Mus musculus: one gene and its partners. The main gene of each other region encodes a partner of the protein of the gene in region 3 in a complex. Each region holds a gene or a part of one and is shown on either strand. Other genes may lie near its edges. The genes, in order: Suds3, Sap25 and Sin3a. A codon is read from its position in the direction of its gene.

Region 1 (9,746 bases), on a different chromosome or scaffold from region 3:
GCCCAAAACACACTCGAACCTTCCACTGGGAGAAAGGGCAGGGGAGGGGTGAGCCAAGGTTGCCATCACAGAAAGCTGTGCTTTGTCCTCCAGGAGTCAGGGTGTCTGGGCGGCTCCTCACTCTTGTCCCCTTGGTGGAGGAGGCTGAAGTCATCACACCTTGAGTAGCTTGTCTGTGCCAGAGATGAGGGGCGTGGCTGTGTTGGCCTCTATGCATTTCAGGCACATAGTGGCTGGAATGCTGCTGGTCTGTTGTCTGCTGTACGCAGCCAGCGTTTGTTCAGGGTGCCCAAGCATTTGTGCACATTGGTGCTTTGAGCAATGTGATGTCACTAGCATATTGTCTGTGGCTTTCGGAAACTCAACATTTCATTGGCCAAAGGTACTGATCTACATAAAGTTAAGGGGTGCCGGGAGTTAAGGAACCATGCAGCAGGCTTCCTGGCCCACAGTTCCCCGGGCTAGAGTGACTTTAGCTTCTGGGACAGGGGCTTGCCTGCTGCGGATGCTTTTCATCAGACATAAAGTCTGGGCTCTTAGTCTGAATTCTGCAAGTCTGAAGGCTCTGTGGGGTTATGGGTGGATGTGTTTGCAGAGCAAATGGGTGGTTAGAATTTGAGGTTTGCAGAAGAGCCCACAAACCAGAAGTTTCTGGTCTGCTCATGGTACTTGTGGAGCAATAGTAGGCCCACGCTCACCTAGAGAGACAGGAAATCCCAGGTACATTTTGCCACAATTGCTGTCTTTACCAGAGCTGACAGCATCCTGTCTCTAGGAAGAGAACAGATAGAGTGAGCCTGTGTATACACATAAGGTTGTGAGAGTGGCCTCAGGGCTGTGCTCCAGTTTGTCCATTAGTGGCTGTGTCTCACCGGAAAATCTGAGAGTTTCAGGCCGGCTGTCTCAGCTGGTCTTATACATGCACTGGACTCTGGAAGAAACAGGCTCTAGTGCCAGTGAAGGAATGGACTAGCCAGTGAGAGCGAGGGCAAGCAGGCAAAGAGAACAAGCTTCCTTCTTCCATGTCCTTTATAGAGGCTGCCACCAAAAGTTATGGTCCAGGTTAAAGGTGGATCTTCCCAACTCAGAAGATCCGGATCAAAGGTGGGTCTTCCCACTTCAAACGACTTCAAAGAAAAATCCCTCACAGTGTACCCAGTCACTTGGGTTTTAGTTAATTCCAGATGTAGGCAAGTTGACCACCAAGACTAGCCGTCACGTAGGTAAACAGTCGTTGCTGGCACACAGTAGGCACTGAGGAAGCTTAAGAGTAGACCTTGATGGCTTTGGTTCTGTCAGGGGAGGCCTCAGGAAGGGGGCCGCCTTGGATCTGGAGTTTGAGAGAATGACGAGAGTTAAATCCCAGCTGAGCCCAGCCCCTCATCCTCTGGGGTTTCTAGAGAGGTCCTGCCTTGTCATGTATCTGCCCCACTTAGAAAGTCTCCATGTGGACTCTGCCTCTAAGGTGGCTGCTTTGTGACTCACTGTGCTGTCTGTCCTACTGGGTGGGCCTGAGTGAGAGCATCTTGTCAGGATGGTGAGGTAGACCTGCCCGAGCCCCTCAGTGAATCCCAATACCCCTATCTAGGAAGATGGCAACTGGCGAGTCTTAACTGTTCTTTTCTCTCTTTCAGAGCTCTTCCTCCAGCTGGAAGTAAGTACCCAGCATCCTCTGCGTTCGTAGGCTCCCAGGAGAGTCTGACTCTTGGTTCCCTGGCCTTGCCTTCTGTTGTTAGCAAGTGGACGGTTTGGGAACGCCACCACAGCTCGTTTGGTTAGGGATGCTTAATGACTGCTTAGACCTTCCATCCACCCAGGAGTGTTCTGCAGTCCCTCCCGACCACGCTGGGTTAAGATGCTGCCCCTCGCTATCTTTCTTGTTCTTTAATTTAAAATGGAATTTATGTATGTGTGTACCTCTGGAGGCCCGAAGACGGTTCTGGGTCCCCTGAAGCTAGAATTACTGGCAGTTGAGAGCCATCCCATATGTGGACACTGGGATCAGACGTGGGTCCTGTGGAGGAGCAGGGAGCTCCCTGCTAACCCACCTCTCTAGCCCACCGTCTGTTCATTGACCTTTACCTCACGTTATGACCGTTTGTCTCCAGACTAAGCCTGCTGCTTTGCTACTGGTTCCCATAGCCCAGTCTCTGAGTTGGCTCCACAGATCTGCCTTGTGTTTGGGCTTCATGGGTTGTGGGTCAAGATGGAGTCAACATTTCCTTTCATGTCAATGACAGTTCGGTGCTATGGTGCTGAGACAAGGGCCTGGCTCTTGAATGATAGGCTGCCCTTGGTCCCAGTGGGACATAAGAGGTGCTTTTTGGTTTGTCAGATTCAAGTTAACTGGCAGGCGATTTTACTAAAATTAGTTTGGCACATGCAGCCGTGGCCTGGCAGAGCGTATGCCTCAGTCACACAGCCCGCAGCCAGCACCCAGGGTGGCGGAGAGATGTCACAAGGGGGCTTCTAGGCAGTTCTTTATTTTATTAATAGCTTAATTTTGATACTTGAGTACTCGAGCGCTCAGGCGCCTAATGAATGGTCTGTAGTTGCTTTTGTTCTTACAGAGCAAACATAATAGCCAGCTGTCTGGCTTTAGTATCCCGTAATTAATTTTGAATGCAGAAACTTCACCTGGCATGGGTTGTTTTCACTTGAAATTGTGTCCTTCCCAAAGGAACAACCCCTAGCGTTCTCTCTCTCTCCTCTCTCTCCCCCCCACTCTCTGAGACTCGAGTTCTGTTTGATGTTAAAGCCTCCGAAGACTCGTGGGGGAGAGGGGCGGGCAGGGGAACAGTACAGTGCCTTGGAAGCAAATGCTGTTATATGGCTGGGTTTGGGGACCTGTTGGGATTGTCCCTAAGACCCCTGGTCCCATGGGTCAGTGTGGGTGAAATGAAGTCTCAGGCTTTCTCTGCTCCTGAGGTCAGAGCTGGCCCCGGGCTGGTGCTCATGGCCGCCCGCCTCAGCTGCGTCTCTTCTCAGACGGAACAGGTGGAGAGGAATTACATTAAAGAGAAGAAGGCGGCCGTGAAGGAGTTTGAAGACAAGAAGGTGGAGCTGAAGGAGAACCTGATTGCCGAGCTGGAGGAGAAGAAGAAGATGATCGAGAACGAGAAACTCACCATGGAGCTGACTGGAGGTACAGAAGCCGGTCCCTGCGAGCTGTCACGGCACTCCTCTCATGCCCGCGGGCGTGCTGGAGAGCTGGCTTCCCGACCCACCCCGCAGCAACTGGGGGCTTGAGGCCGGCCGCTTAGCTTCCTCCTGTGGAGGGGCTAGATCCTGCTTTATCTCCTGACTTAGTGCCTGGGGTGTCATGTGACAGGCAGGACACGTGCAGGCTGTGTGCAGGAAGCAATCAATTGCACACTCAGACTGTGCCTCACTGGCTCCTGGTCAGCTGCTGTTTGTGTCTTACATTTGAGTTTCTTACCAGGACCACCTGAAGATTGCTTCTGTCATTACAGTCAGAAAAGGATGTTGTCCTCTGATGTCATGAGGGAGGTAGTTGGGGGCTCTCTTCCCCCAGGCGGTGCTGTGAGGCTCAGAGCCAGAGCGATTCCCTTGATCCCAATCGATCCATTGATCGATAGTATTTTGAGTGTCTGGTTCCTCCCTAGCAGCTGAGATCTGCTGTCCAGGGAGTTCAGCAGGTTACAGACAGGTCTGTGGGGAGCAGCAGGCCCGACTCTCCTGATGCCGTCTGCAGGCTGGTGAATCACAGGATAGTACTGGCAGAACCAGCCGTTTCCGAACTTGGCAGGGTCTTCATTACAAGTCAGCACTGGGTTTGCCACATGGCTTCACGGGTGGCGTGTTCTTCCACACACCCCGAATCGTAGTCTTCATCATCTGTCCAGAAGGTCCCGTTGCTCTGGGACAGCTGATTCTAGCAGGGCTCTATAGGACATCTGGGTTTTCACAGAAACCTTGGAGCTGACTTTGAATCAGTGAGGCCGGGTCTGGCGGGGGTGGAGTAGGGGAGTGAGATTTTTGAAAACCAGCTGAGGGCTTGTCAGAAGGCATGAGTGCAGCTCTGAACATGAGGTGGGTGTTGGGGTAGCGCCTTCAGGACACCTGTTTACCTGTCAGCGCTGGTTCTGCAGTCAGGTACCAGTCCCCCCACCCGTTCTGAGCCACATACAGTTTTCTTGATGGTGGTTGTGACTGGCATTGAGGCCTCATCACTCTTCGGGAGCCTCCAGCTATTCAAGAGCTGCCATTAGGCTAGTTGGAAATCCCACCGGTTATAGCTGCTCCTGCCCCCCCCCCCCCCCCATCTGCAGAGAAGGACACGCTCACCTTATGTGTGCTTTGGTGTCCTAGTTACTGACAAGCATCAGGCCTTGGCCAGGTGGTTTTATAGCCAGCTTCTGAACTGAGGCAGGAGGCAGAAAAGACAAATAAAGACAGGGAACTCATCTGTAATGCAGTAAAGCAGATAGCGAAGCATTTAAAGCCATCCACGGGTAGAAAGGTACTGACGTCCTTCCTCAAGCCATTTGGCACCTTGGCGTGGAGCGCACTGGCAGCGAAGGGCAGGCGGGTGGGAGGCACTGAAGCTGGAAGGATAATGGCCTTCCACAGATGGTGCTGTTGGATGGACGGAAACAAGGCGACCGCTTCCAGCTCCGTCCACAGAAGCCATGTCTTAAAATGGCCTTTTCAACCTCGAGATTTCTCTTAGAAAGTTAAGGAGAGGCCAGCAAGGGAGGCCGTAAGAAGGAAGCAGGTGTTCTGGGCCATCTGCTCTGTCCAGCACTTATGACCTGGGACCCCGGGGAGTAGCAGGAGGTCCTCGGTCTCCTCAGCCTCCCGGGCACTGGGCACACTAGGGCTAGCTTTCCATGCAGTCGCTGTGTGCTGAGCTGCAAGTGGAGCTGCTGGGCTAGCTGCCTCCTGCAGACTTGGGTGTTGGGGGGGCGCTGTGCCAGGGAACACCCCCAGGGCCTGCCCGTGGGCTGTTGGGCCACTCTCTGTTGAGCCTTTGATGTTGAGGCCAGGGTTATAAGTGACCCAGATTGATAACCAGACAGGTCCCAGGCCCTTTAAGGCATCAGAGGTGTTACCATTTTTATTCTTCGGATTTATCTTTGTGTGTGTACGTGCGTGCGTACATACATGTGTGCGCGCACGTGTGTGTGTGCCCTTGTGCATGCACATGCTTATGCCACGTGTTTGCAGTCCCAGAGCCACAGATGCTTTAGAGCCAGCATCATGGGTGGTCCTGAGCTGACTGAGGAGGAGCTGGGAACTGAACCAGGGTCCTCTGTCTGAGCCCTCTCTGTAGCCCAGGCCTGGTCACTTTCAGTCTGCCTTTCCTCTGACTGGAAGGCCAGTTGGTTGCCGCTTGGCTCGTGTTGTTTCCTGACATTTGCTCACTAGGGTGTCCACTAACCCTCCAGCCCTTGTTGGATGCTACTCATGACCTCAGTACAACCCACAGAGTTGCTTTAGGAAGTATTGGCTGTGTAGCTGGCCCTGTGAGCAGCCATAGTTGAGGTAAAAATCTCATGGGTATCTCCTGTGTCAGGCGCCTCAGCAGGCTCACAGGCCTCTTCCTGAGGGGCCTTGTCTTGCCCGGTGAGGGGGAGTGGGGAGTCTGGAGGGTCGGCTGGCACAGAACAGATGCCTGGCACCTAGCAGGCCATTCACTTGCACAGTTTTGCTGGATTTGGGTGTCATTTTCCAGGTTTGAAATTGGCAGAATGGACTCAGAAGTCAGCCTCTTGCCCCAAGTCCCTATAGTCCCAAAAAACCTAGCTAGTACCGAAGCCAGTCTGTTCTAATTGCATTAGACTGGCTCCTTCCACTCCACTGAGTTGGGGAGGTCGGGTTGCTGGCTGGAGACAGTATTGGGGAGTTCCCAGACCTTCCAGGTTTAAGGAAGGAGAGGTAAAGATGAGACAGGCTCGTTGTAGTGTGGCTGTATCGGGCAGTGCCTGATGCTCCAGTGGAAGGGGCTTTAGGAGTCAGGGAAAGATGCATAGAAAGATCTGTGGGGGGTGAGGTAGGGGGTGATGTGGTGACCTGACCTGGGGCGGGTGGGCTCCATCTCAATGTCAGCCCTTTGCCCGGGGCGACCTGGGTGTCTTGGAGCTTGGTCCCTTTGTTCCAAGCATGCTTTGCCCTCCAAACACCTGATGCAGACTTCATTCCCTGCCCCCTCTCCATGTGCTCACCCCTGCTGCTGTGACGTGTGACAGCATGGGTGAGCCTGCTAGTCTGCTGGAGATGGATGAGGCTGTGTGTCCTGTGGGGCCCTGTCTCGCGCACTCTGTCTGCTGCAAGCCTCAAATGAAGTGTGTGCTTCAAATCATTGTTGTTATTTTACCCAAGTCGCTAAACAAATAGTAAGTTCTTCATCTCAAGAACTGGGGGTAGAACCCAGGGCCTCATGATGCCAGGCAAGTGCTCTACCGCTAGGTCGCATCCCTCACCAACTGATACGTCTCCCCACTTTAGCCGCCGTTTCCTAGTGGAAACACTGACAATCTCAGGATCCAGAGACTGTCCTGAAATGCTCAATGTTACCTACCTAGTTAACTATAGTCAGCGCTGTGCAAGAGGACGGTGGGCTCTCCCCTCATCAGGATGGAACCTCATAGTGACCTCTGTCTCCCAGCCTCTGCTCAGCCAGGGTTCCTGCCTCTGCTTTGGGGTTAGCTCACTCCCTTAGATTCTGCTTAGGAGGGAGATGGGCGAGCTTGCTTTATGGTTAACATTCGCTAAAGGGAAGCTGGAACTGCCCCTGGGGAGGGGCAGGAAGTGAGTGAGGCAGCAGGCCCCGTGCAACTCCAGGTAGTGCCTGTCTCACAGAAGCCAGGGAGGCTTCTAATGCAAGGCAGTTAACTGTTTGGAGGTTACATGACTGAGGCGTGTCCTGCCCAGATGTCTTCTCCAGTTGTCACACTCCAGGGTCTGGGCTTCAGACCTGGGAGTTTGATTTTGTGCTTGCCCTAGTTGAACTCTCGGGCTCACTGACCAGACTCCTAGGAAGCTGTTGTTTGAAGCTCTTGCTAGTTTTAGCAGGTTCAGACTCAGGTGCCACGCCAGCCCATCCCCCTGGGGAGAGCAGATCTGAGTGGCTGCTTCTGGGGAGGAGACATTTCCCTGTGTGGAGTCCGTCCTCTAAAGCCCCAGAGAAGTCCAGAGTGAAAGGCGGCCCTGTTCCCCATCTGCTGTATCGGTCTTGCCCTCTGGTAGCTACAAAGGGTTATATAGAAGAAAACTGGGAGTGTGTAAGCAAAGACTTCATATACAAACCTTGGCTGGGGTCAGTGGCCTTGAAAAAGGGCTTTCTATGTCCATGGTCTTCAGCACGCAGCCTCTGTGGGAGCAGCAGACATGAGGTACCTGCCTGATCCCAGGCTCTTTTCAGTCTCCTAGCCTGTGACTGGGTGCTCAGCTGGCTGACTCCGGTAAGCACAGGGCTTGCAGCCTGCCACGGGAGTGTGGCTGGGCTCATGCATAGACTAAGTGTGCTTGGTCACATAGCTGCAGTGGGATGTCTGTGGGATGGATGTTCTGATGCTGCAGGGACCCCTGCTGGCTCCAGGGACAGGTGGATAGACTCACCCCTTCCATTCTTGCCACAGATTCTATGGAAGTGAAACCCATCATGACCAGAAAATTGCGGAGGCGACCAAACGATCCTGTCCCCATTCCAGACAAGAGGAGAAAACCGGCTCCTGATATCCATTTGTACCAAGCTTGAGTCATGAACTCCTATGCTTAGTGTGTGTAGTAGTGTATGCAGGGTCACAGTCTCACGAGCCAGCGGCAGTCCAGGTCGGGAAAGCATATGTGAGATACTTACCTACAGGTGGGGTTGACTCCAGACAGCACTGGAGTCAACTATTGCTTTTCGTTGGAGAGGTTTCCAGAAAATGGTTACTTAGAAAGGTGCTCTTTTGGAAACAGCCTTGTTCTTACACTCCCTTTAAGCAGCTTACAGTGAAATGTGTAAATTGAGGGCAGCACTGCCTGCTGTGGTCCCAGGTACCCACCTCTGCCTCTTGGGCTGCAGACTGCCCTAGCCCACCGGTTATCTGACTACAGTACTGGGCTGCAGACTGCCCTGGCCCACCAGTTATCTGCTTCTGGGTTGTGGACTGCTGTAGTGTACCAGTTGTATGCTTCTCTCTACACTGGTAGGTTGTGTACTGCCATGCGTAGTCTACCGGTCACCTGCCTTTACACTAGTGGGTCGTGAACTGTACCACAAGTAGGTCCGGTGTTCATGGAAGATGCTATATAGCCACGGACGTGGCCAGTGGGCCAACGTGGAGCACTCTCTTTGGGAGATTTAGTGTAGCAGTTTGCCCAGCGTGGGCTGTACTGTGCAACCAGCAGAGGGTGCTGCTCCAGGCCTCTCCCCTTCACAGCGTGATCTAAGCCACTGTGAGAGTAGCCTTTCCGTGTCTGTCTGGAAAGCTTCAAACTTGGGAGTAGCAGTGTTTTTCTCCCTTAGATGAGATTGTCACCTTGCTGTGCTGTGTTCCCACCCCTGCGACATCTGTTGAGTAGCAGCATCTCTTCCCCTCAGAGCAGTGTGTACGAGGGGTGCGTGGAGTTCTCGTCTGTGCCTGGTGACTTTTAGCATGAGAGTCAGTTTTTTAAAGAGGCAAGGTCTTACCTTGAAAACAGCCTTTCTGTAGCCCAGGCCTCCCCAGTCCCAAAGCACTGGGGTCCCTGGGTGCCTCTGTCTCCTTGGAAGCCATGCATTTCCCACGAGTTCTTTAACTCTCGGCACCTCAGCTGAACTACTTGCTAACAGACGAGCAGATCATGGAGGACCTGAGGACGCTGAACAAGGTAGGGTGGGACGCTTTTGCTGTACTTGAAAGGCTCACGTGTTTTGTGACGTAAGTTCCTGTCACCTGCTAAAGTCACCATGACATCTCTGATGCTTTATGTTGCTTCTAAGATGATTTTCTCTGAGACTTTCTTGTTGTTATTCTTCCTACAGCTTAAGTCACCCAAGAGACCAGGTGAGTGCCCGATGACACTGCCAGTCTTTGTACCCTGTCATTGGAAAAGTGGAGGTGGGGTTTCCAGGAGTGAATTATGCTGAGTCGTGAAAAGGGCAGGAATCATAAACATGTCTCTCCCGTGTTGTTTCTTTAAAGCCAGCTGTGCTGTTTGTCTTTTCCTTAGGACTTACTATAGAGGAGACCTTTGATTGGCTCTTGAAGGGTTCCCTTCTGAGTGGGTGTCGGGTGGGCCTTAGGTTCAGGACCGTTTTCAGTTCCAGTCATGCAACCATGGGGAACTTTGTCTGGAGCTCAGACCCTGCAGTGCTGACTGTGGTGCTCGGGTCCTAGGGAGGCCCAGGCTGTCCTCGTCCTCGTTAGGAGACAAGGCGTATGTAGCTGTCTGTGGTGCTCGGGTCCTAGGGAGGCCCAGGCTGTCCTCGTCCTCGTTAGGAGACAAGGCGTATGTACACCCTTGACACGTGCAAGAGGTTTTCAGTGAGCTGTGCTGATTTGGTATCCACATCAACAGTTAGTGTGGTGCTCTGGCAATGAGGGGTCACCACATTGTAAATGTGGATGCAGTCAGCACCAATGGCCCCTGTGAATAGCCACTGGCCCTGTGAATAGCCAGAGGCCCCTGTGAATAGCCACTGGCCCTGTGAATAGCCAGAGGCCCCTGTGAATAGCCACTGGCCCTGTGAATAGCCACTGGCCCTGTGAATAGCCACTGGCCCTGTGAATAGCCAGAGGCCCCTGTGGCTA
Region 2 (9,676 bases), on a different chromosome or scaffold from region 3:
AGAGAGTCCCTGCTTCAAAAAGGTGGAAGGCTAGCCGGGCATGGTGGTGCACGCCTTTGATCCCAGCACTTGGGGGGCAGAGGCAGGCGGATTTCTGAGTTCGAGGCCAGCCTGGTCTACAAAGTGAGTTCCAGGACAGCCAGGGCGATACAGAGAAACCCTGTCTCGAAAAAACAAAAACAAACAAACAAAAAAAGGTAGAAGGTGAGGACCCACTTCCAAAAGCTGACCTCTGACCACATGCAGGGGACAGCCTGTACAACACACGTACTATTTTCCAAGCTGGGTGTGGTAGCATGCACTGTAACCTCAGGCAGGGGAAGTGGAGTCAGACATATGATAGGCCTGAGGCCTTCCAGGCCTGCAAATCGAACCTACTAGACAAGTTCTAGTGAGCCTGTCTCAAAAACAAGAGGGATCGCTCTTGAGGAATACGAGAGGTTGTCTTCCAGCCTCCAATAAGCATGTGCATTTGTGGCCTATGATCTCCAGCCCCACCCAAACCTCTCAGGATACACGGGCTCACCAGGACGTCTGCCACAGGATCCCAGCTCCTGTGACCACAGCCACCATCAGGTTCAAGTTGGCATTTGGCTGGTGGTCAGGGGCACTTTGAGGAAGGTGTCTCTGAGAGACTAAGTCCTCTTTCACACATCCTTCAGTGGACATTTGCATGCGTGGGAATCTGGAGAGGGTGGGGGTGCGGTTGGTTACCAGAGACCAATCTAGTTTGGTTTTCCTATCCTGGGGTATCCATCAACCCAAACTCAGATAGCTCAGAAGCAAAGACACAAAGATCATCTCTGGGTAGGAAAGGAAAGAACACTGAGGACCTATACAACTAGAGGCTCAGTTCGGAGGCTCCTCCCTGGAGAACTGCCGCTATCAGGATGGCCCGCTAGGCCAGGCCACTCTTCTAATTACTAGTGCCATCACTGCTAACCACAGCCGCTTCTTCTGCACCCTGGCTTTCTGGCTTTCGAGATTGCCCCGGGCTGCCTCTGGCGGTACTCCTCCACCCCCACATCCAGTCAGCTGATTGGTAGAGATGCCCCCCCTCACTCCCCGCCCCTGTGAAAGTTTGGTCCCAGCGGTGCAGGGCTCCTACTCTAGCCTATGAATCCTAAACTCAAATTCCTGCACTCGGGCGTGGGAGGGTTAACTTGAAGGGGTGGAGATTCCAACAAGGAGGCTGACCCAGCTAGGTCAGCCTCCCTTAGACCTAGGAGTCCTGGTGTCACTGGCCACTGGGACACACGCACTCCTGTGTACAGGCTCCTTGTTCACTCCAAGTCAGGAGAGGGCGTGGAGAGATGCAGGGCAGCTAGGCCGGCTGCAGTTTCCCAGGGCTACTTGTTCCAAGCGGGTGGTAGCTCAGGGGGCCAGACCCATTCAAATCAGTCCTTCTGGGGACAGTTTACTGTCTTTGGCTGGAAATGAAGCCTGCAGGTACGGGCCCCACAGTCTCCTCCGGGGGCGAGTGCACCGACGTGTCCCTCGGCTCACCGTTTCCTTGGCCCTGCCTGCCCGACGTGCGGCTCTGTGGCCATCTGAGGAAGCAGAAGTCCCAGCGCCGCCGCTTTTTCGTGCTGCGCGCTGACCCACCACGCCTGGAGTGCTACGAGAGCGAGAAGAAGTTCTTGGCCAGCGGCTGCCGCCCACCTAGACCCCGGCGTACCGTTAGCCTGGAGGGTGCCTGCACTATTAGCAAGCGCGCGGATGCCCGTCAGCGCCACCTGATCGTCATCTATACCAGCGACAGCAGCCTGGGCGTGGCGGCGGCCAGCGAAGCAGAGCAGCAAGCATGGTACAGCGCCCTGCTCGAGGTGCGCGCCACCGCCGCAGCCGCTGCTGCTACTGCTATGGGTGAGCCTTGGGTGAGCGACGGGGAGGTCAGGGGGTTGCCGACTTAGTTTATCTTGAACCCATTTCCCTCAGATCAACTGAGGTTTAAATCTTTTTTATTTTCGAGACAGGGTTTCTCTGTGTAGCCCTGGCTGTCCTGGAACTCACTCTGTAGACCAGGCTGGCCTCGAACTCAGAAATTCGCCTCCCAAGTGCTGGAATTAAAGGTGTGCGCCACCACGCCCGGCCTGAGGTTCAAATCTTAAGCTAAAAAAAAAAAAAAAAAAAAGACGTATAAAACGTCTTGGTCACCTGGGACCCGGTGACCCCAACCCCTGCCTCCCGGTGACTTGCCAATTCTCTCCAGGTTTCAGTCCCCAAGAGGCCCCTGAGTCTTGGATCTTCGCCCCATTCCAGGACGTCTGGCCTGTGACACTGCGGTCCAAGGGGCTGGGGAGAGCACAAGGCCTGAGCAGCGGCAGCTATCGCCTGTGCCTGGGTTCTGGGGCCCTGAGCCTCCTGCGAAAGCCTGGAAGCAAAGGTTCCAGAGACAGCCGGGCAACGCCACCACCAGTCCTGCGCTTGTCCTTGCTCAGTGTGCGCCGCTGTGGCCACGCAGACTCTTTTTTCTTCCTGGAACTCGGGCGCTCAGCGCCCATTGGTCCTGGTGAGCTCTGGCTGCAGGCTCCTGATGCAGTGGTGGCCCAAAGCATTCATGAGACAGTCCTGGCTGCCATGAAGCGGCTGGGGAGCAATGCAGCTGGCAAAGCTGAGCCACCGCCACAGGGAAATCCTCCAAAGAGTGTTCCTGCAGCTCCTACCCCGACACCATATGAAATCCCTGCATCGGCAGCACAAGCAAGAAGCCCCAGTGAGCGAGCAAAGCAGGACTACTTCAAGCCCCTGGAAAGGATGGGGTCAACACACTCCTACAAGGGACTAGATCTGGGCGGGAACTACATCACCATGGGAGTCAGGAATGACTATGTCCACATGGGGGGAGGAGAAGCAGGTGACTATATGTGGATGGCGCCCCCAGGCCTTCCTCCCACCCCTGCCAGGGCAGATCCTAATAAGCAGCTCGAGGATTGTGAGAGCACAGAGTATGTGCCCATGAATAGATTTTTACCTGGGCCTTTTTACTACGAGCTCAAGGCCAGGGAGTCTGAACTTGGGCATCCGGGTGCCCATTGTAGCCTTAGAGACAGATGGAGACCCACAGTGGCTCAGCCCCGCTCTTCCCAAGGGTCAGAGCTCTCTGGGGACTACATGTCCATCCCCGACTATGTAGGAACGGACAGTGCTAGGCTGGGGTCTCTGGACAGCTGCCTCAACTATGTGGACCTGGACCTGGTCCCTCCCCTGGAGGTTCCTGGAGCAGCCCCAGGGAAGAGTCCACATAGCTATGCCAGCATCAAGTTCTAGAACTTTTGGGAGGTAGTCAGGTGAGGAGACCCAGGCATTGGTCAGGGAAGAGAGGAAAAGAAGAGACCTTAGTACTGTTCAGCTCAGCTCCTGCACACAGGACCCAGGAACCCTGAGGCCACCATGAGCTGCTCTGCTGCCCCCTTGCCTGCTCTGTTCCTTCCAGCTGTACCACCTAGGAAGCCCTCAGGAAGCCATGCTCGAGGAACCAGACTCTTCAGAGAAAACACTAGAACTTCTCTCTGCCCTGCCAGCCCTCCCCCCACTCGCAATCCAAGCAACAAACAAATAAAACCCTTCTCAGATGAATGCCCACAGAATCAGTCTCAGGCTAGCTGTGGCCCAAGCCTGGATGAAGACTCTCATCCTGGTTTGGGACAGCTCTGTCCCCTCACATGTTGGCAGCTAGATGTCATTGTGTCTCCTCAGCCAAAACATTATCCTAACCCTGTTTTTTTTCAAGCCAGAGCGGAATTCCTAAGGCTCAGAAACAATGGGAGGAGCATCAGGGATCATGACGGTGCTCCTCAAGCAGCCAGTGCTCCCCAAGCAGCCAGTCCTCACCTGACCTTTCTCTGGGCCCAGCAGACACAAACGAGTTCCTCACTTCCCAGAGTGCAGCCCAACCCACCCATTAAAGGTGCCCTTCTCCCTGACTGTCTTGCTCAATGGATCTCCCCACCCCATGCAGTGTGTGACCAATGAGTAAGGAGGCCTGGAGGAAGAGAAAATGGTATAATGGGACCCAGCCTGATCCGCAGCCCATGTCCCACTGCAGACAGCCTGGTTTGCAAACTCTGATTTATTGTCAACAAAACAGCTTGGGGGAGAAGAAAGCACCCGTGGAGGAGTGGGGGGCAGGGTACACTATGGACTGTGGTTATTGGGGTACTATGTGGTTCATGTGTCAGTCCCAGAACAGCTCTGGTCACCACTGGGACCTGGGTCTTCAGAGACAGAGACAGGGTCTGGGCAGCTGGTGGAAGGCAGAGAGCTTGCCACGCAGTTGGGTGTCTGCTCTCCCTGGCTCATCTGCAGCAGACCAGCAAGGGCGATCATCTCTGCCTCGCTGAGCCAGGTGGAGGAGCAGGCCTGGGATGAGGACGGATGCACAGAGGGCGACATGATGGGCGGTGGGAGCAGCAGCTTCCTGGAGTCCATTGCCTGAGAAGACAAAAAAAGGGAAGCTTGTCCTCCCGGCTTTGAATGGAGAAAGGGAGAAGAGAATGGAGGGAGGCTCACTCTTACCTGCTGAGGGGGCTTGGTCAGGATTAGGGGAACACGCTGCCCACATGGTAGCAGAGGATCCAAGAGAAAGACATCTTCATAGTTTCTCACCGGGACCCCTGAAGGAGAGAGCCTGCTAGCTTGGTGGCCTTGGCCTTCCTCCCCAGCCCTCAGTGCAGCTTCCCTGGCAACTTCACAACTGAGCTGTGGGGCCAAGATCAGTACCTGTATCCTTAGACACCACCTGCTCTTCCTCTGGGCGTTCTGAGGTGGTTGGGCTCCTGCCCCAGTTATCATACATCGGCCAGGAAGGATGGCACAGTGTCCTGTTAGACAAAGATACCCCTGGCCCACAGCTGGGCTCCTGTGGAGAACAGGAAGTCAGAGTTCCACCTCTCTTGGCACCCCTGCTACCTGGAGACACAGTCACAAACCCCCCAGCTCACCACCAGCCGAGGTCCTGCATTAGCCTGGTGGCTGGGATCCCGAAGTGGCAGTGGAGACATCCTTGAGGGGGTGACCTGGGAGGTCACCCGGGGAGAAAGACGTACTGTGAACGAGAGAGACGAGATTAGAACAGGCTCGGACTCTCTGGGGCCTTGTGGGTAAAAACAGCACGACCTGGTGCCGACCTGGTGCCTACCTGGGGCTTCTGCAGTCGGCTCAGTAGCCAGGTGCCTGGAAGGCGGCAGCTGCTTTCTTCCTGGCTCAGATGGGCTGAGGGCCTGGGGCTGTGAGCTGTGTGAAGGGAAGGGCAGGCTTCCCCACTCACCTCCCTTCCTAATGCTGACCTGAGTTAGTCGCAGGACCAACAATATACCCATTTCCCAGTCCCGATCTCGTAGATTTTCAGTTTTGGAAAGCGCCCACAACGCCTCCTAGTGGCCCCCACCAAGCCCTCACCTGTCCTGCACAGGCGTTTCTTGCTCCTTCATGGTTTCCTCTCCAGAGCTCAAGGCCTCTCCGTGACCAGTGCCGGTGGGGAGGCCTAGCCCCTCGGTCGCCTCCTCCTGGCCTGTGGCCCATGGCCCAAGCCAAGGCAACATCCTGCGACTGGTGAAGCACCAGGCAATACCCACCGCCGTGCTTGCACTTGCGCGCGGCCCTGACTACATGAGCGCCCAAGTCCTAGCCCACCTCAGAGGTGTCGCCACGACGCCTGCGCCAGCGTTTCTTCAGCCACGTGGCACGCTCCCACCAGGTTCTCAAGGGCTCCCCCTGGCGGCAGAGGCACGGGGCACTTGTGCCGGTAAAGCTCCTCTGCCAGGCACAGAAATATAGCAGTCTACACTGGGACTCACAGTAGAGGACTCAGGTCCCCAAAAAGCTCGCGCATTCATGGACAGGCAGGCACACACCTGAGGACCAACCTACAGGCCTTTGGGCTTCTTTTTATTGTGTTTGACACAACGCTCTTCACCCAGATGGGGGCTGTACCCGAAGCAGCCTAAGGGCAGGGGGATATCCAAGGCCAGTGCTACACACAAGACCATGGTCACCAAGTCCTTGTTAATTGGCTGGGCCCAGGTGTCATCTGCTCCCAGGACAGGTCCGATGGTAGTTGGGGCCCAGAGCCCCCAACCTCTACCCCTAAGGCTGTTCCAGAAGTGCGTGAAGGACAGCAGCGATGTGAGGGAGGCCCCTTCCAGGGGCCCCTTCCTCTTCCAGGATGTGGTGGGGCTGGCACAGGGACTCCTGGGGGGAGGGGCCCAGGTTAGGTTTCCCCCTCGAATTCCCCCAGCAAGGTTAAGAGGGTGGGAACTCCTGGTAGACACTGCCCCATACCTGGGGACAAATGACACATAGAAGCTGCCAGCAGGTAACAGACGGGTGGTTAACACAGGGGACTGGGACAGGAGAGGCCTGTCATTTCCAAAGGGAAAGGCTTGCACAGGCAGGTAGCCCAGGCAGGACAAGACCTGGCTGCAGCAGGAGCTCACACACGCACACACAGAGGTGACAATCTATACAGTTTATACACAGAGCCAGGGGCCCATACTGGGCTCACATCCCCTGCTAATAGTTCTCTCTACAAAACAGAGATAATTTAGCTCCCCCATAGCAGCTGGTAGGGGGAGGGAGGACAGAAGAGAAAAGCCACAGTCCTGTCATCCGACGGGGGACAGAGGGCTGGCCGGGAGAACACGAAGGCACCATCAGCACTAAGGGTAAGGGTATTGTGGGTATGAGAGTGGGGCTTCTGAGGTCAGCGTTGGTGAGGGGACACTAGTGTCTTTGGTAGGGCTGAAGGCACCACCGGTTGAACAGGAGGTCTTATAAATAGAAGGTGGGGAAGGAAGGGGCAACGTGGGTCCTAGGAGCCCAGGAGCCGAGTGTAGACGACATAGAGCAGCAGCATGAAGACCACGTAGAAGAGGAGGAAGCCACCCAGACCAGAGGAGGGCTGGACTGGGAGAGGGGCCTTGCCCCCAACCAGGATCACAGCCTCCAGGACGGTCTGCAGCCCCTGGGCGGTGCCCCGGAGGAGATCCGAGGGCGAGCACAGGTCAGCCTGGGGAGGGAGGACAGGGCAGATGGACAAGGACAAATCACAGAAGTTAGCAACATCAAGCCACGGGCCTTCCCACCCTGCCCTCACAAACCAGGACAACAGCCAGAGCCATTACCGACATGCAGGACATGCAGGACAGGGAGGGAGAGCAGGGCAGGAGATCTAAGGGGTGGGACCAGGACACATGCTTCCTGTAGGAGCGAACACCCCAGTGGATGGAACTCCGCCCCTCATGCAGTTTCAGCTGAGCCCTAGACACCAACATGCTCCAGAGCAGAGTGCAGCCCCATACCTCAGGCACACCCATTTTCCGACAGGCTTCTAGGAAACTCTCGACATTCTTCCGAGACTTGAGAGCACTGAGCTTTGGCTGGAGACAGAGGAGAAAGGGAAGAAATTTGGAAAGGCAAAGCCACAGTCACGTCCCTTCCCCTCTTCTTCCTTTTGGGCTCCCACTGACCACAGCAGGTGAGGGCACATGAATGAAGGGTACAGAGCGGGGCCGCAGCTGGTTCGCCAGCTGGCAAAGGAGGACTCCGTTGGCGAGAGCTTCTGCCAGGTCCTCAGGTAGGGGCTGCTGCAGCCGCGACTCTAGGACCTGGAAGCAGAGACAGAAGCAGCAGCTGGGGTCAGCAAGGTCACTCCCTCCATCCCTTCCCCTCCTCGATAACAGGAGTTGTGGGCTGAGGAAGGAGAGGGGAAGGAGACGCCAGGCTGGGCCAGGCCTCCGTGAATATCACTTTGCTCACCTGGCGAAGTTGGGATATTAGCTCCTTCTCCTGAGGAAACGGCCGAGGTCTCAAAACAGACTCTGGAGAGGAAGGACCTAGGAGGAAAAGGAGTATAGCTCTGCTTCATAGATAAATTTTGGAGCCTGTTTCCAACAGTCTGATACCAATACAGATTCAAGCCTACGGGATTTTCCATGAACAGGGACAACACCCTAAGAGACACAAGCCTCAAGAGATAAGAGTCCTGCCAGGCAGTGGTAGCGCACGCCTTTAAACCCAGAACTTGGGAGCCAGAGGCAGGCAGATTTCTGAGTTTGAGGCCAGCCTGGTCTACAGAGTGAGTTCCAGGACAGCCAGGGATATACACAGAAACCCTGTCTGGAAAAAACTAAAAAAAAGAGAGAGAGAGAGAGAGAGAGAGAGAGAGAGAGAGAGAGATACGAGTCCCAAGGTTAGTGCCAGGAAGAGAAAGACTTACTAGAGCCACTCTGAGAAGAGGACCGGAAGAGGAAGCTGTTTGGTCTCTGAATGGAGCCCAGGGGCCTGGGAACAGGAGCTGTCACTGGGGGGAGAGCCAGGGATAGGCAACAGAGACACCCCTCAGTAGCCCATTCTTCCTTCAGGCCTCTATGTCCCAACCATCTCCAAGCCATCACCTAAAGGCGATGTCCTACCTGGTCCAGATACAGGAAGGGGGTCCTGGGAGGTGGGGGGTGGTGTGGGAGCTCCCTGCCCCCCTGAAACTCCCAGTTGGGTAGTGCTGGACTTTGGTGGGCCACTGAGGAAAAAAGAAGGGTCTCAGAGAAGGCCAGCTACGAGGAAGGCCTAGGGAGGTGGGTCTCGGAGGACACCTACTTGCAGGTGGCCTGTGTGGATGGGGCCGAAGCACCTGCCCCGGCAGCTCGGATCCCCCGCTTCAGGACGCTGGAGAAGCAGAAGAGGAAAAAGCTGGGCAGTCAGGCCTGGAATTCTGTAGAACCGAAGTCTGAGAGGCATTTGCATCTGTCCCTGCCAGGCCCTGAGCCCTTCCTTACCTGTCCTTCCTGGGGGACCCCCATCCCCCACTCTGTTGCTGTTGCTTCCGCTCCCGTTCCTGCCACAACTGCAAAGTGTCTGGGCGCCGCCTCTCCTCCCCTGCAGGCTCCTCTCGCCTGGCAGAAGACAGGACAAGAGGGACCTTTGTCAGGTGAAGGGGAGGTGCCCAGGCTGTTGAGTAGGAGGGAGAAGAGTGGGCTTGGGGGTCGGAATACCTGCTGCTAGATGGCTTCTCCACATCCCCTGCTACAAGGCTTAATTCAGAAGGCAGCTGCTCCTGAAGAGAGGACAGCAGAGCTGAAGAGAGGCCTGGCCCCATTTACACTGATCTCCCCATCAGTGCCTCTCTACCTGCCCAGGGTCAGGCCTGGCTCCTAACCTCAGCTGCACTTCGATCTTCATCTTCCCCAGGAACGTGGCTGTCAATAAAGTCAATCTGCTCCAGGTCTCCATCGCCTGCAAGACCAGGGCCTGTCAGCCAGCAAGCAGGAGGGGGTTTCCAGCCCATACTCACCCATGATTTCCTGGGCAAACTCCCTTGCTCACCAGCGCCATCTTCCCTAGGTTGTCTAGGCCCCCGGGGATCACGAGCCAGCTCCGAGATCCGGAAAGACAGCTCTGAAAAATCATCTGTGGACTTTAAGGCAGAGAGGCAGAGATGGGACATGGGCTCCCTGCAGGGCTGGGGACCATATGGGTTCAGGCTGCACAGTAGAGACTGGGATCAAGTGGAGGGCCTGCCTCTTGGGGATAGTAGGGGAAGGAGCCCGAGGCATGACCTCTTACCGAGATACTAACCTGTTAGGTATAGAGTCCCCAGTCCCAGTCCCAATGACATCCCCAAATGCCCTTGCAAAGGAGGTCCTTACCTCATTTCCTGACCACCTCTTGCTGCCACTGT
Region 3 (9,746 bases):
TTTTAAACTGTTTACAATCTTGTTTCACATGTATTTCTTATCCAATCTACAATTACCCTGTGAACCATGTTGGAATGGAGGGATGTCCCATTGTGAGAAATTTTTTTGTGTTAAGACATTAAAACTTTTGAGACTTGGAGTTAAGACAGGTATCTCAAAGAATTCTGAAAACAAGATTCATCTGATTTTATTTTTAAATAAATATTTGTTATTTTTCTTTATGTGCTTTGTGTGTAAGCTTGTGGTGTGTCAGCTATATTATGCCTGGTGCCCATAGACAGAGGCTGGAAGAAAACACTGGTTTCCCTGGAACTGGAGTTACAGGAGGACATGGACGTCCACGTGGGTGCTGACAAGAACTACAAGTGCTTTTAGCTGCTGAGCTACTTGCTAGGCTCAATCTAGGATTCCTAAACTTAAAAGTTGCAGCAGACACCAGGTATGATGGCCCACACTTTAATCCCAGCATAGGCAGGCAATCACTGAGCTCAATACTGGTCTGGTCTACATAGTGAGTTCCAGGACACCCAGGCCTATGTATAGACCCTGTCTCAAAAACAAAAAAGCAACTGGTGCAGCGTCACCTGCCCCCATGAATTCAACTAAAGAGCAGACCAAGCCTCAAGGTCAAGCTCCTGCACCAAGGTAGCGTCCTCACTAGCAGGCCACTAATTAGTGCATTCACACAGAATAACCCTCAAATTGTACATGTTAACTCTATTTTTTTTCCAAGACTGAGTTATATGAAACCCAGGACTATGTAAAGTTATATCCTTGGCCTAACTGCTCATTTTTCATAGAAGGTAAACGTGTTGGAAACTGTGAACCTGTTTTGTTGTTGAGGGGAGGAGACAAGGCTTAGCAGAGACTCAGTGCCTTATATTAACTCTACAAAGGCTGCTGGGACCAGCTCAGGCCACAACAAATGCCACAGTGGGTAACATCCATTCCCACTCTACTATTCTTATTGTGAAATTAAAAGTCCCCTAAGAAATGGCGCAGAGGGTAAAACTGTCAACTTCAGTTTAGCCCTGAAATTCACGCAGTGGCAGGAGAGCCCACTCTCGTAAGTTATTCTCCGATTTCCACATACACATACAGCAAAACAAGAAAACCTTTAAAGTCAGGAAATGAGGCTTGCCTAGCAAGCACAAAGTCTTACATTCAGTGCCTAACACCAAACCAACTGGTCCCTAAAAAGCAGAGAAGCAAAAATGTAAATTTCAATACTGACTCATCAATTTTACTTAGTTAATCTCATGTTATCATGGTTACTACGCCATTCTATTTTTTAGGAAGATACAGTCTTTGTGAAGTATAAAAGACTTGGACAATACCATTGAAGTAAGGAATGTTATGACTTGATAAAGACAGTGAAAGCGTCACAGAGTTTTAAGTGGGGGAGAAGAGTGAGAAAAGTCAGTCTAGCCAAGACATGAGTTCTCTCCGTGTGACTATGTACCACTGACCCTCTATTCACATCCTCTTTTAGGTATCTGCCTCTCTCAGAATCTTTAGAAATGGAAGCATTACAAATCCAGAGACAACGATGGGGTATGTACAGCCATACATTAAGTATTTCATCAGGTAACCAGAAATGATGTAGGGATGATTTTTCCAAGATTTTTGTTGTTGCTGTTAAAGAGAAGCACCGCATGGGAAAGCTAGGTAATACCAAGCCCAGAGGTGCTCAAGTCTCGAGGGATGGAGAGGCCGGAAGTGTATGCTGATATGCTGAGTGTCCACGTGCAGAGAAGCACTAGAGTGGAGAAGCCTGGGACGAAGGGAAGCGTTCCTAGTCAAGGCTTCACAGGATGACATTGTATCATGGTTCTGTAGCTAAGATGACTGAGCCTGCCTACTTAGAATTCTTGGTTTGGAGAGATCTTATGTATGGGGAACTGCCCTTGAACTCCCTATGTAGCCGCGGATGGCCTTCACATTTTGTTCCTCTGGCTTCTTCCTCCAAACGCTGAGGTGAGTAGTGCCACACCCATTTTATGGGGTACAGAAAATCCAACCCAGGGCTTTGTCATGCTTGGCAATTAACTCTACCAATTGAGCTAAATAAAGCCCCAGCCTGAGAAAATTAAGACGAATATATGGCCTGACCTTGATATTTGTTCAACCAAAGGGACCACCAAATAAAAAGAAAACATAATCAGACAAAACTCACTGAAGAGTTCAAATGAAAAGCTTAAACATGTCTTAAAAACTCATGGTTGTGGGTTCTGGAGGCAACTCCCATTTCCAGTTCTTAAAAATATGTTGACAGCGTTAACATAAATTTATAACCAGATTCTTCTAAATAAATGAATTATCTATTTAAAAATAACATAGGGTTTATGAAACATTTATTTTACTGGCTTTTCCTACTCCTCAGTAGGGAGGCCAACAATGCCGCCACAGAAACCCCGAGACAAGGATGCTCCCTGTCAGAAGGATGACAGTTAGAAAGTATCACATTGGCTGGGCGTTGTAGTTCACACCTATAATCTCAGTACTCAGGAAGTACACAGGATTAGTTCTCAGTCAGACAGTACAACATAGTGAGATCCTGTTACAAACAACTCCACATATTTAAAATTTCCAGGAACAAAACATAAAAGCAACCACAAATCTAACACTGAGTCTCAGATAATGAGGTGGGCAGAGCACTGTACAGGACTTTTAATACTAAATGAGGCAAATAAACAGAATCACTGTCATCTATGGAAAAGGCTAAGCTACACCTATGCTTTCTTCTTGGATAAATAAAGAGGTAGGACTGTGTTCTAGACAAATGGCTGTTAGGACAGGCTCTGAGGAGGGGCACATTGAGAACCTAAGAACCAATTCCAGGGCTGGAAGAGTCCAGTTCTGTGAGCTGGAGAGAGACTTATTGAGCTATCCTCTCTGAGCAGTAACACCAGACTCATAAAGTAAACAAAATGTACAAGGTTCAGGAAATAAAGGAAATAGAAAATTCAGAAATCCCCTGAAATTTAAATTAGAAACCATCTCCACACCCATCCCCACCAAGGATGAACTTGAATTTCTGATCCTCTTCTAAAAGGAGAAACAATTTCTGGGGAAAGTACTCTCTCCCATAGGTCAAGCTGCCCTCTGGCTGTGCAGGAGCTTCAAAGACTCAGGTTTTGTGTACAGTGGGCTTTTCACTGCACTGCCTTTGGGTTGCTCATGTTCCTTAAGTGACCCCAACACACATAATGGCTCACTAAGACTTAACTAGAATCATTTCTTTGGTTTGCTGTCAGTGTATCAAAGGGATGTTTGTTATTGTCTCTGAAGGAGAAGCCACACAAGACTTCATGTTAACTTGGTCCTTTCCACTTCAAAGACATATGTTTATAAACACTGCTATATATATGGTTAAGCTGCTTTTCCTTTTCCCATAGAAATCTTGCTTTTCCTTTGTGACTTTTAGCTGAGAACACCTTCCCTTGGTAGCGCTAACCTCCAACACACCCTCTCACCTGTCTGACGATGCTCTGGATTAATTTGTCCATAGTAAAGGCAATGTAGGCATGAATGGTGAACATCTCTCTCAGTGAATCTTCATACTGTGATGAGTCTATGTTGCCATCAAGCAGGCTCCGCACCATGTCCAGGAAAGCTGGGTAATAATCTTCTACATCAACATCCACTACAGGAAAGATTAGACAGGTAAGACTGTACTCTGCTAAGACAAGCTCGAGGACAGAGAATACAGAATCCCACAGCTGGCCTATATACCATCTGAAAGGACAAAATACCAGATATGCAAAAACATGTCCAACTTAACCCACTACAGAGATGACATCTAGTAGGCAGCTATAATCACCAGAACTGTCCATCGAAGAACCAACAGTGACTCTGCAACTTCTAACAGTCGCTTCCAGCACAGACTGACTGCTAAAAAGACACTTTGAGCACTGCTGAGTTCTGTCACCTGAGAGCAAAATATCCCAAGAGAGTCCTTCAAGTTGCTGGCTCCTTCACTTACACAAAACCATTTCACAAAGGGGACAGTTGCTCATGAGTGTACCTCAATGAAGAATAAAGTATGGACAAGAGAAGACAGGCATAGGTAGATGCTACCACACTTGGAACTCTTGGCTACAGAAGTTATTCAAATTAACCCCTCTATGAAAATGAATAACTCTGATTGTATCACAGTCCCTTTGCTTAAAATAGATTTGCAACACTGAACTCCAGTAATTACATTAGATGAATTGTATTTGTTGCACATGAAACATTTAACCAGTAGCTGGAGTGAATCTTACTAGTAAAAGGACATAGTAACTAAGAAGGGCACCAGGAGCTCATGTATGTATGTATGTACATATGTATGTACGTATGTATGTATGTACATAATCCCAGGGGCAAGGGGATTGCTGGGCCAGCCTAGGCCACAAAACAAGTTCTGGGACAGTGAGCATTTTATAGCAGTAGACCCACTCTCAAATACAAAAAAAACTCATTTCTAAGTCTGAAAACCAAAATAGTAGAACAAAGAAGTTACTGGGGCTTGGCTTTATTTTCTTGACCTCTTTTTTTGACTAAAGTATGCTCATTATAGAAAAATTTAGAGCCATAAAATTCTATTTGTGGGGCAGGAGATACGGTTCAGTGGATAAGAGCCCCTGCCCCAGCACTCATGTGAAAGCCTGGCTGTCACCACCTGTCACCTTAGCACTGTGAAGGTCAGCAGAGAGGAGGATCTCTAGGGGGCTCAGTGAGACGCTGTCTCGAGAAGGAAGGTACATAACACAGTGGCCATAGCCTTTTCTAGCCTCCTTGCACATAAGGCACATGCACCCCACACAAATGCAGATTCTCATTTGTGTTCCTTTTTGCATACAGGTTGCACATCAATAAAAATTTGATCAAAAATGTTAACTACAAAAAGTACACTTACTGATTACTGGCCATCCATTAGTAAGGAGAAATTAGAAAGGGGACAAATGGGGTGGATCTTACAGGCAAAAACGAACAATCACTGCTTAAAACAAGTTACTGGTTTGAGTTGTGTCACACTACATCACTTTGTCTAAGCCCAGGAAGCAGGGAGCTAGCCTTTAAAATATACTAGGATAAGAGTCCAAACCACAGATTTATAGCCACAAACTATGACTGGCATGAAGTTGGCACTATCACTCAAGAATAAGCTGCTTCAGCATAAGTCCAGGATAAGACAGTGATCAAGCCCAGATTTATATTTGTAAATTCTACTTGTTTCTTCCAAGCTAGGACTAAAACAGATAAAGGCTTTTCAAACAGATTCCTGGTGCTATTAGTTCAACAGATAAGAAACTAGGTTTATACACAGGACTCCTACAGCAGTTATTTACTATTTCGTGAAGAGCAAAGAAGGGAAGCCTGTGAGGATGTGTCTGGCTCACAGGTTAAGCACCCAACTTCAGAATGAAAGCATTATGTGGAAGGAGGCGGCAGAACCCAGCATACAGCCAATGATAGCTAGCTTCTTAAATGAGCCTCTGGGCTTCCTTTCCCTTGAATCCTGTCTATCCCTTTGCCTTGTCTCAAACCATCTTGAGTGCCAATTCCTCTTCAGAAATATCAGGAATGAACCAAGAAGCCCATTAAGGAGATGCTAACACACATCTGAAAAGATTCCTTATGTGCCATAAGCATAACAAGGAATTTCTATGTTATGAATAGAAAGAACTGTGACGTTTCTTTCTCATCTGAACCACTGCTCACTAACCTAGCCAATGGATCCCACGTCCCTCATGTGTCCACAGTGCAAACTAAACACCTCACATGACCATGAACCGGATACTGTACAAGGTTCCATGCTTGCATCTTTCTTAAGCCCTCAAGCAACCACAGAAAGTGACAAATACTGCCTCCATTTTTTTTTTTTTGGGGGGGGGGTTTCATTCATGGGTTCAAGGAAGGTTACACAACCAGCTAAGTTGCAGAGGTAGGATACGAACCCTAGTTCCAATCTAAGGACTAAGTGTACTTCAAGGTAAGGTGGCCTTGAAGCCAGCCATCTACCCCATGCATAAAGCTGACAGTCTAAGCACTCACTAGGTTCCTTGAGACGTAGTTGTATGGCAGGACTATCACTCTTGTCTCGCTTTATGCCTAGCACCTCCCGTTCCCATTCTCTCTCTCGGTTTTCTTCTTCAATTTGCCGTTCAGCTTGGGAACAAATCCGTAGCAGCCTCAAGCAGAGAATTTGATGCAGTCGCATAAAGATATACCAATTGTTATTGACATAGAAAAGGTTATATACTTCATCCATCCCTCTTAACTTTTGAGCTGCTGTGTTACTAAATAGCAACTTGGACTTAGGGGGGCTGCCCCCAACACCATTGTGCTTCTTAGGTGCTCCTGTTGCTTCATCCACATCCATTTCTTCCTCCTCCTCTTCTTCCACATCTGAGAGATCGCCTCTCTGAGCAAACAGCAGGTCAGGAATGAAATGGTGCATGATTTGCTTGATTTTGTATTTGTCCTCTTTCTGAATGCCTGTTTGCCTCTTCACATGGTGGATAATCAGAGCAGCAGCATCTTCTAGTATCTGTTTGTCTTCATAGGCAAGAGAGAGGTGCGGGCCAACAGGTACACCAGCGTTCTCTTCTGTAGCCTGCTCTTGCCTCTGATGGAACAGACATAAAAGCATTGTGTGACATGTATACAGCAACAACAAACCTACAATACTATACCAGAAATGCTGAGCAGTGGTGGGAAATGCCTTTAAACTTAGTACCCAGGAGGCAGAGGCCAGCAGATCCATGAGTTCAAGGCCAACCTGGTCTACAGAGCAAGTTCCATGACAGGAAGGGATACATAGAAATACCCTGTCTCAAAACAAACAAAGAGTACATTAGCAGCACATTTTTATTATTAACCAAAATGCACTTTAGGCACTGTGGCACCTATCTGTAGTTACATCCTTTGGGAGAATAAGCCAGGAAGGGTACAAGATTCTAGGCCAGTTTGGGCTTAGACAGAGACATGACAGTGGCTACTTAATCTGAAATACAAGAGTTAACCTTAATAATGTTTGTCTCTCTTCCAAATATTCATAAGTACTATGGACAAATTGGCTTGATATAAAAAGATTAGTGCCTTCTATATATTGAAGACTTAAGAGAATTACCTTTAAAATTCCAGATTTAGCACTTAAAATACTGGGGTAGAATTTCTCATGTAAGCTAGAGAAAGTACCCAAGGAGCTAAAGGGATCTGCAACCCTATAGGCGGAACAACATTATGAACTAACCAGTACCCCGGAGCTCTTGACTATAGCTGCATATGTATCAAAAGATGGCCTAGTCGGCCATCACTGGAAAGAGAGGCCCATTGGACTTGCAAACTTTATATGCCCCAGTACAGGGGAACGCCAGGGCCAAAAAGTGGGAGTGGGAGGGAGGGTATGGGGGACTTTTGGGATAGCATTGGAAATGTAAATGAGGAAAATACCTAATAAAAAGTATTAAAAAAAAAAAAAGAATTTCTCATGTAAAGGTTAACAAATTATCAAAGATAAACAATTAAGTGTTTGTTAAAGTTCACTTACTATTTTTATTCTTTAAAACTCAGGGCCAGCTTTTGAAAGCCTGATAGATGTCACTTATGCTTCCTACCTCCTAAGGCAGGTCACAAAAAGCAAGACCAATTTCACATTTATCTCTGAGTCTTTGCTCCAAGTGCCATCCATACCCCTGCTAAGTGAGCAGAATAACAGGGTTACTACCACTTTTTAAGTGAGGTAGAGGAGATGCCAGGTCTTGTTAGAAGAGTGTACATTGGGCTCCCAATGGAGGAGCTAGAGAAAGTAGCCAAGGAGCTAAAGGGATCTGCAACCCTATAGGTGGATCAACATTATGAACTAACCAGTACCCCGGAGCTCTTGACTCTAGCTGCATATATATCAAAAGATGGCCTAGTCAGCCATCACTGGAAAGAGAGGCCCATTGGACTTGCAAACTTTATATGCCCCAGTACAGGGGAACACCAGGGCCAAAAAGGGGGAGTGGGTGGGCAGGGGAGTGGGGGTGGGTGGATATGGGGGACTTTTGGTATAGCATTGGAAATGTAAATGAGCTAAATACCTAATAAAAAATGGAAAAAAAAAAAAAAAAAAAAAAAGAAGAGTGTACATTAAAGGCAGAATGGTAAACTGGGAAACCAGAGGAAGAACTGAGTGAATCGGTGAGTAGTAGGTTTAAGACGGTAGACCATGATACAAGAACTGGCAGTTCTTAGTTAACTGTAGAAGTCAAAGCAAGGCTGAACACAAAAAAGCAGAGCTGAGGGAGCTGTACGGTCAGCCAGCTCACCTCGTCATAGATGCTCTCGATCTCATTGAGTAAGCTCTTAGACCTCAAGACCTTAGTGTCGTTCTGCTTGAAGTTGATGCCTTGGTGATCCAGAGACTTCAAGTAGTACTTCTCATTTTGCTCTCGCCAGACCTTGTTGAAGCCTCTCTGAGCTTCTCGCCACTCTTCTTCTTTCATCTTCAACCTAGCAGGTGAGAAGGGATACAAGTACAGCATGTGGGAATCGAGAGGGTTAAATGCGGGAGTGTGTCGCGGGCTTACTACACTTGATGAAAACTCAGACCTATGCTGTTGGTGCTTCAAAAAATGTCCTTGGTGTTATCCAAGTGAGGTTTTTTTCTTAAGGGAGCTTATTTTTGTGATACAAGTCTTACTGGAAAATGTATATAGACCACACTAATCTAAAAATCTATGGCAATCTGCCTTCTACTTCCCCAATCCTGACATTATAGGCAAAGAAGTCAAATTTGGCTGCCATGAATATTCACAAAGTGAGTGGTATCACCAATGGGGTTTTTAAGAGGGAGCATGAAACCATTTTTGAGACAAGACCTTATTTGAAAATTTGGATGACTTAAAATTCATGATGTAGACCAAGCTACTATCAAACTTACAGCAATCTTCCTGAGTCTGCCTCCCTAATGTGAGGACTATAGGCATGAACCACATCTGGTTTTGGGGAGTATTCTCAAAAAACTAGTTCTCCCAACTAACTAAAGCAACTTGCTTCTTTGTTATGACTCAGAATCTTTACTGTGCTCATGGAAACGCAAGTTTCCTAGAGAGGGCATGTGGTGAGGGAGGAAGATTGCAGGTTTGAACTCATTCTGAGCCATCACATACACACACCATACACACCCCGACACATACACACATCACAGTCCCTCAAACGCCTGCGGTCTGGGGTAGGGTAAAGTATTTCCCTATCAAGCATAGTATACAAACAGTCCTAAGTTCCCTTCTACCAACAGAAACAAAGCCCAACCCTGAAATGTGAACGCACTACACTCTACCATACACTCATCAGGCTTTCTCTGTGTGAACTCAGGACTCATGCATGATAGGCAAGCACTCGACCACCGAGCTGCACCTCAAGTCTTTCACCCTCACCTGTCAACATCTGTTCCATTTGTTCCACAAAACCCCTAACGTATGTTCTGCCATTCTACTCTATCCCTAGTGTTGAGCTACTGAGGAAAGAACTGAAATTCCAATTAGATACTCAGGTAGAAAACTAGAGCCCTATTTAATGGGACACTGAACCTGTCACACAGCACACAAAAGCCAGAAGATACATACCTTTTAAGGACAATCGGAACAGCAATGGAGGGGTTCTTCCTCAGGCCATCGATGATATCAGCTGCTTTGTCAGCATATATCCTCTGGAGTGCTTTTCGATGGATGACTTCGGACGTGCCTCCAAGGGTGTTATCCAAGCGAAATTTG

What was found.
Region 1: the proteins of Sin3a (region 3) and Suds3 are in contact, whole or in part, in an NMR structure (PDB 2N2H), measured with the Mus musculus proteins. Residues at the interface, in NP_001103821.1 of Mus musculus: Glu616, Glu619, Leu620, Val623, Arg672, Ile673, Tyr674, Ala675, Lys677, Asp680, Ile681, Ile691, Ala692, Ile695, Val696, Arg699, Met702, Lys703, Glu706, Trp707, Glu709, Ala710, Phe714; in NP_848737.3 of Mus musculus: Ala205, Leu207, Asn208, Tyr209, Leu210, Leu211, Gln215, Ile216, Glu218, Asp219, Leu220, Thr222, Leu223, Leu226.
Region 2: the proteins of Sin3a (region 3) and Sap25 are in contact, whole or in part, in an NMR structure (PDB 2RMS), measured with the Mus musculus proteins. Residues at the interface, in NP_001103821.1 of Mus musculus: Leu121, Lys122, Val123, Ala126, Leu127, Leu130, Tyr144, Phe147, Leu148, Met151, Lys152, Phe154, Lys155, Thr161, Val164, Phe182, Phe185, Leu186, Pro187; in NP_001075431.2 of Mus musculus: Ala208 (codon at 4,335), Glu209 (codon at 4,332), Ile211 (codon at 4,326), Ala212 (codon at 4,323), Leu213 (codon at 4,320), Ala214 (codon at 4,317), Gly215 (codon at 4,314), Leu216 (codon at 4,311), Leu217 (codon at 4,308), Gln218 (codon at 4,305), Met219 (codon at 4,302), Ser220 (codon at 4,299), Glu223 (codon at 4,290).

Annotation. Positions count from the first base shown.
Region 1 is NC_000071.6:117,098,554-117,108,299, reverse strand, and holds part of Suds3 (sin3 histone deacetylase corepressor complex component SDS3), read left to right. Parts: intron 1-1,634; coding exon 1,635-1,654; intron 1,655-2,988; coding exon 2,989-3,145; intron 3,146-7,604; coding exon 7,605-7,700; intron 7,701-8,761; coding exon 8,762-8,823; intron 8,824-8,977; coding exon 8,978-8,999; intron 9,000-9,746.
Region 2 is NC_000071.6:137,637,281-137,646,956, reverse strand, and holds Sap25 (histone deacetylase complex subunit SAP25), read right to left. Parts: upstream 5,485-9,676; 5' UTR 5,322-5,484; coding exon 5,141-5,321; intron 5,048-5,140; coding exon 4,944-5,047; intron 4,862-4,943; coding exon 4,723-4,861; intron 4,617-4,722; coding exon 4,519-4,616; intron 4,435-4,518; coding exon 4,171-4,434; 3' UTR 4,055-4,170; downstream 1-4,054. Other genes in the region: Irs3 (insulin receptor substrate 3), read left to right, coding at 1,437-1,866, 2,213-3,270; Lrch4 (leucine-rich repeat and calponin homology domain-containing protein 4), read right to left, coding at 6,812-7,009, 7,302-7,379, 7,470-7,607, 7,759-7,835, 8,219-8,302, 8,415-8,518, 8,596-8,664, 8,775-8,891 and 4 more. UniProt on the Homo sapiens protein: Involved in the transcriptional repression mediated by the mSIN3A but not the N-CoR corepressor complex.
Region 3 is NC_000075.6:57,107,446-57,117,191, reverse strand, and holds part of Sin3a (paired amphipathic helix protein Sin3a), read right to left. Parts: coding exon 9,600-9,746; intron 8,485-9,599; coding exon 8,301-8,484; intron 6,614-8,300; coding exon 6,040-6,613; intron 3,647-6,039; coding exon 3,477-3,646; intron 1-3,476. UniProt on the Homo sapiens protein: Acts as a transcriptional repressor. Corepressor for REST. Interacts with MXI1 to repress MYC responsive genes and antagonize MYC oncogenic activities. Also interacts with MXD1-MAX heterodimers to repress transcription by tethering SIN3A to DNA.